Linked DNA regions of Kluyveromyces lactis. The main gene of each other region encodes a partner of the protein of the gene in region 2 in a complex. Links are inferred from orthologs where the notes say so. Each region holds a gene or a part of one and is shown on either strand. Other genes may lie near its edges.

What was found.
Region 1: ISW1 (region 2) and IOC3 share a complex: the UniProt entries of both Saccharomyces cerevisiae proteins name them as parts of the ISW1A complex. The link is inferred for Kluyveromyces lactis from reciprocal best matches to the Saccharomyces cerevisiae genes ISW1 and IOC3.

What each region holds. Positions count from the first base shown.
Region 1 is NC_006042.1:2,159,246-2,163,543, forward strand, and holds the start of IOC3 (Ioc3p), read right to left. Parts: upstream 2,823-4,298; coding exon 1-2,822. Other genes in the region: KLLA0_F23221g (uncharacterized protein), read left to right, coding at 3,989-4,298. UniProt on the Saccharomyces cerevisiae protein: Functions as a component of the ISW1A complex, which acts in remodeling the chromatin by catalyzing an ATP-dependent alteration in the structure of nucleosomal DNA.
Region 2 is NC_006042.1:644,439-648,464, forward strand, and holds the start of ISW1 (chromatin-remodeling ATPase ISW1), read left to right. Parts: upstream 1-1,211; coding exon 1,212-4,026. Other genes in the region: RRT2 (diphthamide synthase), read left to right, coding at 1-861. UniProt on the Saccharomyces cerevisiae protein: Catalytic component of ISW1-type complexes, which act by remodeling the chromatin by catalyzing an ATP-dependent alteration in the structure of nucleosomal DNA. They are involved in coordinating transcriptional repression, activation and elongation phases.

The DNA.
Region 1 (4,298 bases), about 1.5 Mb from region 2:
TATTTGAGCTTTCGCTTTTTGTGTGTTACGGCATTCTTTGAGTTTTTCTTCAAAGGCCTCCCACGTTTCTTAGGAACGTCTTCGTTGTCTTCGGAATCCAATTGATATTCTTCTTCAATCTCCTCATCATTATCTGAATGATCTTCATAGTCATTCCTGTGATCTTCGTGCTCAGAGAAAATTTCAGGCTCTTCATCCATTTCCTCCTCAGGTTGATCTTCCTCTTCTTCAACATTCGCAACAACCTCTTCATCATCGTCAGAGGGTTCCTGTGGAGCTTCAGTATAGTTAATTTTAGTCCTTTGAGATCTTCTCAAGTTCCGGTCCGTCGTTGAGATATCACCATACTCAACCTTTAGTTGCTCAAAGGTTTGTAGTAGTGATGACATTTTCTGCAAGTATTCCTTCAATATCAAGAATTTTGATCTTGATTTGTTGTATTTGTATTCTTTTGGTAATGGATTGCAGTTAAATCCCTCTACTGTATCTAATTTAGTGATTGTTGTGTCCTTCTTCAACAAACCGGCCGAAGGCAGGCCATTCGATGGTTCTTCTTTATCTGAGCCTATGTCTGAAGCGTTTACCGTGTCCTTTTGATTTGCTTCCTTCGAATCGTCGACTGTCTTTTTATTTTTGTTTGGTTCTTCCTCCTTGAACACTTTATACTCCAATAGTTTGATGAAATCTTGCAATGAAGAACTGTTATGGCACATTTCATACCAGTAAACTTTTCCGGTATTGGTACCATTCATCAAATCGTGAACCAACCCAGGGGTGTCATGATAATACAATTTAAACTGCATACTGTTCAACTTACCATCCCTACTGAATAGTTCGAAGGGTGTAATTGTTCCATTTTCAAACTGTTGTAATGTCTTCAACAATGTTATGGGATCACAATAATTAGTCGGAATATGCTTTTTAGCTTTTGAAGATTGATAAGTAAACAACCTTGGCAAGTAAAAATCTCCAACGTAGGGAATTCTTCCAATAAAGAATTCGAGACATCTTAATTTGTATATTTCATCTTCATAGGGGTCATCCAAAGGTTCCCGATCATGAATTTCTTCGAAGACCAATTTAGACCATTTCGAATAGTCCCGTTCCACGCTTACTGCTAACGCGTCAAACTTCTTTTTCTTATCTGTTGTGACTTGGTTGTACTCTTGTCTATACTCTCTCATATTTTTTTTGAGTTCATCCAGTAAAGCGAACTTTGCAGATAAATCTTGACGGGTACCACTTTCAAGTTGTTTTTTGACATGCTTTTTGGATCTACGCAATTCCATTCTTTCCTTTACCAAAGTACATAGCTTCTTGAAATGTTGATGAGCAGCATCTATGCCCTGAACAAGATGTCTTGGAGCGTGGAAGGTTTGAATACCAAAAGAGGGGTCTTTCTTTAGATGCGATAAACGGTATATCTCTGTGTGTATCTTCTCTGAATATGAAATACACCACTGCGTCAATGTCCTTAAAAATACGACCCTGTCAGATGGCATTAGTCCCAAAAGACCAAGTCGTTCCAAATCTGGATTATGTAATGGGTCTTCTTCCAAGGGCACGATCAATTGCTCAGTCCACTTGTAAATGTTTGGGGTTAAGATCTCAGGATGATTAGGATCAACAGCTTCAGTGTCATCGTGTTCAAACAATTTAGTGCGTTCCGCATTTAAAGTTGACTGGACCTTCCATTCTCTAGGATATCCAAATTCCACCCCTTTATGTCTCAATTCAGATATTAGTTTGAATGCTTTGGATGAAGTCTGCAGGGATTGCAATGTGCTATGCGATTTGCGATTCAAAGTCAGCTCCATTAATACAACATAAAGTAAATTTGAGTAATCCTGGCAGCGTCTAATTTCCCTTGCTGGAATATAATCTGCATAATACTGAGGAAGATCCTGTTCGTCGTCTATATTTTCTGGGTAAATATCAAGGCCAATTTCGAGGTCTTGAATAGATAAAGACCATAGTTCCTGAGGCAAAAATTTATGAAATTTGTTGATGAATGACATGACAAAGACCAGATCCTTTGCATATGGTGCTTTCCTCATATGAGGGAACTTCAATCTCGAAAAAACAGATGTTTGGGTCTTGAAGTCAGTAGATAGGACTGGTAATTGTGGTGCCCAATTTTCGAGGAGAATTGGGTTAACAGCTAAACTTAACGAAGGTGCTGGTTTTGATGCAGATTTAGAAAGCTTGATCGCATCCTTAGGTAGAACTGGCTTCGATGTTTTTCCATCCGATCGACTTTCTAAATCACCGGAGGGTTTGGGAGAATCCTTTTTCTTCAAATCGTCAGCGGTTTGTTTCTTAGAGATCATGCTAGCAACACTTTCTTTCGGTTTGCCATTGGTTTCAACATCGCTTTTGCTTTTCATATTAGCCTTTTTACTTGTTGTGCTATTTTTTTTATCACTGTTGGCATTGATGGCAGACTTTTTTTGGGCATTCTTTGCCTTTTCCTTATCCTTATCATTGTCCTTATCACTTTTCTTCGGCTTAGCCTTATTGGTATTGGATGGCCTATCATTCTTCTTTCCCTTCTTCGTCTTAGCGACCACTTTCCTATTATAAGGCCTTTTCTTTCTGGAGTGTTCTGGTTCTTCATCGCTTTCCACTTTTCTCTTGACTAGCACTCTATTTGATCTTCTTCTCGATATAGGTTCATTCAATGGAGAAGTGTCTGTATTTGATTCTGATAGCTGAACGGCAAAATTCTTAAAGTCTGTGATAGAGGTTTGCCCGTATTTCTTCGCCACGGGATGTTCCTCGGGAACTACCTCGATCATTTCTTCCTTATTCTGAGTTTCCATTGCACGAATGGTAAAAGACTTATCAAACGTGTAAAGTATCTTTTACTACCTTCCTGTGGATTAATACCGAATAATGTAATTGTTAAATTGATTAGCAAACAAAAACTGGAATGATCAAATCCTTTCTTCAGCTGGTATTACTAGTCTAAATGGACTTAAAACAAAGACAACCAGTCTTTAAGTTCTGCTGTATCGAGCACTGACTATCGAATAGGAGAAGTTACAGGTCTGGTGAATTAGACTCACTGCTTGATCTTTAAATTGCAGAAAGTCGTTTATTTAAACAAACCTGGTCCTCGTTGTAAAAACTTTTTGTTCCTTTCATGATTTCTATCAAATCGATTCTTTCGTTGGAAAGTAAAGTAGGTCGACGCGTTATTCTGCCAATTAGGCGGCAGGTTCCCAGGCCATCGAAGGGAAAAAAAACCAAATTCCAAGGTCACGTGCACAAATTGTTAGACTGGATGCCAATGGTTTTACCAGGAACAAACTAAACGTAGTGAAAGGTATTGGCAGCGTGAATACCGTAGCGTTTATACATAATATTCAAGGGATAAGATGCGATTATATACAGAGGAAGTGATTGTGAAGGGGAATAGACATTATGTTTCAGTACTTTCTTTTAATTTCCAAGAGCGAACTGGGAATGACGTGAAAGGGCGAAAAATAGGAGAAGCTGGCAGTCCTAGTAACTTGAAACCTGCACTGAACATTCTTACTTTCATATTGAATGACTGGAATTTTCATCTAGCGATAGAAATAAGTAGAACATTCTTTGCTGTATGGAAGAAGGTCCCTGTATGGTCAAAATTCTTTCTAAGAGCCGAAAGTTACCGGATAGGACATTCTAAAAGTTACCGGGTACCAAGCTATAACGATAGTTAGCTTTGCCAACCCTTACAAAAAAGCTCAACCGCACACATCTATTAGCCTGAATAACTCTAAAAAATATATCGAAGCTTATATGCACATCCTCGTCTCATCTCATCACTGCATATTTCGGCAGAAATAATTAAAGTTCTTGTACATAAATGCAAAGAGTGAAAAAAAAGTTGCAGCCTCACTATCAGCCATCTTGATGAGAAGCAAATATATAACGGAGTAAAGAAGATCCATCGGTGTGAACTTCTGAGGCAAACACAAAACATACCCTTCGATACGCAAGGATGACGGCTCGACCAGAGTTGAACACTTTACATAGTGCTGCCACAGAACCGACAATTATCCATTCGAATAATGAAAGCCTGAATGCTTTAGACTACACAGGAAATGATGATAAAAGTGTTGCTCTGAGCAATGCTATCAGCCGAACAAACTCGACAGGAAATAAGATACCAAAGAAACGGAAGCCCAGACGGATGTTCACTACGCCTGGTAGATTCCAACAGCAATTGGCAATTCCAACGAGTTATTTGGAGAGAAAACCAACAACCAAGGCAGAAGCCAAAGGGTTTTACTATTTTGTATCCTGCATGA
Region 2 (4,026 bases):
GACGATGATAATTCATCAATTGATATCAAACTATTGAACAACCTTCAAGTATTTGATCCCACATGTCTAATAACGTCTCTCCAGTTTTCTCCATTGCTGGATAATCTCGTACTTTTAACCACTACTAATGGGGATTTTGCTACTGTTGATATCATACATGGTGAAATATGCTTTATAGAGGAGGTGGAGCCATCGTATTTCGACTCCTCAACAATAAATTATATTGAGGTGCCAAATGCAGACATCAAAGTTATAAATGTTCAGAATGACCATGAACAAATCTTTCATTTCAAACATTCTTTGGAGTGCTGGACCGGCGAGTTCGGCTGTTTGGCTCCTTTGAAAGATGTTGTATTCACTGGTGGTGACGACTCTGCAATTGCAGCTCATGATTTGAATTCAGGCAAAAAGATCTGGTCCAATTCAAAAATTCATCAAGCTGGTGTTACGGCAATTAAGGCTGCTAGGGAGACATTTAGAGGCAACAAGCCAACAAGTTTAATCACAGGCTCTTATGATGACCATATACGATCCTTTGATCTAAGAATGCTCTCAGAAACCACAATATATCCAGGGACAGACGTCCCTGTGGTTAATAAATGGGAAGACAATTTACAGGGTGGTGTTTGGAGATTCTCGGAGGCCCCAACGAATGACGGACTGTCAAATAACAGACTTATGGTTTGTTGCATGTATAATGGTGCGAAGGTTGTCAACGTCCAAAACGATCATTTCGTGACCGAGCAGTTTATAAAAGAAGGGCATGAATCAATGTGTTACGGTGGTGATTGGAGTAAAGAAACAGTTGCAACTTGTTCTTTTTATGACAAGTCCCTACAACTTTGGAAAAGTCCAAATTAATACACATATAGTTTTAAAAGGAACGAAAAAAGCAGACGGAATTGAGACATAATTGATGTGTTCTCACTTCGCTGTTTCGATGAGCTTCAGTATGTATTCTTTTTTAAATATAGGACCATTTGTTTCATCTTATTAACGCACGTGACTTCAAGTATCTTCATCCTGCAACACCAAAACACGAAAGTTTTGGAAAAACTGGGTAAGTAATCCTTTGATCTAAAATTTAATTACTTCAGTTAATATAAAGAAAAAGACTTCAAAGATTGGTATTTTGATGAAGTAGTAGGAGCTTCATAATTTCTGATATCTGAAGCAGCAAATTTGTTTCACTGGTTCTCACGTCATTAAAGATGGATTCACCTGAGTATTTGGAGAAATTAAAACCCTTTCAAGAGGGAATTCCCAACAGCATTGCTGAGAAGAAAGAAAGATACTTGCTACCACTGCGTGATTTGGCATCAGGGAAGCGCAAATTTGATGAACAGGGAACAGTAAAGAGATTCGAACATTTGCTTGGGTTATCTACTTTATTCAGACATTTCATTGAAAGGAAAGCTGCCAAGGATCCTAGATTTAGAGAGGTATTGGACACTATTGATAATGTCAACGGCAAAGCAAATGGTAAGGGAAAGAAACATACAGATGCCCGCAGACGTAAGACTGAAAAGGAAGAGGATGCTGAACTTATGAAAGATGAAGAAGAAGAGGAAGAGGAGCTTGCTGATGTCGATTTCCAATTCAGAGAAAGTCCAGCTTATGTTAACGGACAGTTAAGACCATACCAAATCCAAGGTTTGAACTGGCTAGTAGCGTTGCACAAAAATCAACTAGCTGGTATTCTAGCAGATGAAATGGGGTTGGGTAAAACGTTACAAACCATTGCATTTTTGGGTTATCTAAGATATATTGAAAAGAAGAATGGCCCCTTCCTTGTGATAGCTCCTAAATCGACTTTAAACAACTGGCTCAGGGAAATTAATAGATGGACTCCAGAGGTAAGCGCCTTCATTCTTCAAGGTGATAAAGAGGAAAGATCTAAGCTATGTCACGATAAGCTTTTAGCATGCGATTTCGATATCTGTGTTGCATCCTATGAGATTATCATTAGAGAAAAAGCCTCCTTTAAAAAAATTGACTGGGAGTATGTTGTTATTGATGAAGCTCATAGAATTAAGAATGAAGAATCCATGCTATCCCAGGTTCTTAGAGAATTTTCCTCTCGTAACAGGTTACTTATCACTGGTACTCCGCTACAAAATAATCTTCATGAGCTTTGGGCTTTATTGAATTTCTTATTGCCTGATATTTTTGCTGACTCGGCAACCTTTGATGAATGGTTCTCTAGCGAATCATCTGAAGAGGATAAAGAAAAAGTGGTCAAACAATTGCACACTGTGCTCAGTCCCTTTTTGCTACGTCGTATCAAGAACGACGTCGAAGGTTCATTACTACCTAAAAAGGAATTGAACGTCTATGTTGGTATGTCTTCAATGCAAAAAAAGTGGTATAAACAGATTCTCGAAAAAGATATAGATGCAGTTAATGGTTCAAACGGTCAAAAGGAATCAAAAACCCGTTTGTTGAATATTGTCATGCAATTGAGAAAATGTTGCAATCATCCATACTTATTCGATGGTGCAGAACCAGGTCCTCCATACACTACTGACGAGCATTTAGTATACAATTCAGCCAAATTGAAAGTGTTGGATAAATTACTAAAAAAATTCAAGGAACAAGGCAGTCGTGTCCTAATTTTCTCTCAGATGTCTCGTGTGCTCGATATCTTGGAGGATTACTGCTATTTCCGTGAGTACGAGTACTGTAGAATCGATGGTTCTACTGCACACGAAGATAGAATCAACGCTATTGATGACTATAATGCACCAGATTCTAAGAAGTTCATATTTCTTCTAACTACTCGTGCTGGTGGGTTGGGTATCAACTTAACTACTGCAGATATTGTTGTTTTATACGATTCTGACTGGAATCCTCAAGCAGATTTGCAAGCAATGGATCGTGCGCACAGAATTGGCCAAAAAAAGCAAGTGCGGGTATTCAGATTTGTCACTGACAATAGTGTGGAAGAGAAGATTTTGGAAAGAGCTACACAGAAACTAAAATTGGATCAGTTAGTCATCCAACAAGGGCGAGTCACTAACAAGAAGAAGGAGAATAAAAATGACTCCAAAGAGGGATTACTTTCTATGATTCAGCATGGTGCTGTTGATGTCTTCAAGAGCAATGACAGTAGTGCCATGACCAGTCAAACTGGAACACCACATCCAGATGATGGGAAGGACAAGGATGAAGATGTGGATTTGGATGCCTTGCTAGCACAATCTGAAGATAAGACCAGGAGTTTGAACGCCAAGTATGCAACTTTGGGTTTGGATGAACTTCAACGATTCAACCAAGATTCTGCATATGAATGGGATGGTCAAAATTTTAAAAAGAAGGTTGAAAAGGATATCATTAACCCACTATTTATCCCACCTACGAAACGTGAACGTTCAACGAATGCTAACTATTCTGTTGATAATTATTACAAAGACGTGTTAAACCCTGGACGTAACAATCAATATACGGTTCCACCAAAGATGCCAAAATTACAACCTCTAAATAGCCACCAATTATTAAGACCACAATTAAAGGCTATTTACGAAAAGGAAAGAATGTGGATTGCAAAGAAAAACAATTATGTTCCCAACCTTGATGACGTTGTAACAACTTATGGTGACGTGAAAGATGAAGCAGAAAAGAAAGATAAACTAGAACTTCTAAAGCTATCGATTGCCAATGCAGAACCATTGACAGAAGAGGAAACTAATAATAAAATTGAATGGGAGAAAGAAGGCTTCCATAACTGGAATAAGTTGGATTTCCGTAAGTTCATTACTGCATCAGGTAAACATGGTCGTAATTCTATTCAAGCCATTGCTGCTGAATTCGGTGGTAGCAAGACAGAAGAAGAAGTGAGGGCTTATGCTAAAGCATTCTGGGCCAATCTTGAAAGAGTGGAAGACTATGAAAGATACGTGAAGAATATTGAGACGGAAGAAGAAAGAGTGAGACGAGTAAAGATGAATCAAGAAGCTCTACGTAGAAAGATCAGCCAATGCGCAAACCCACTATTTGAACTCAAGTTGAAGTTCCCACCATCTACAA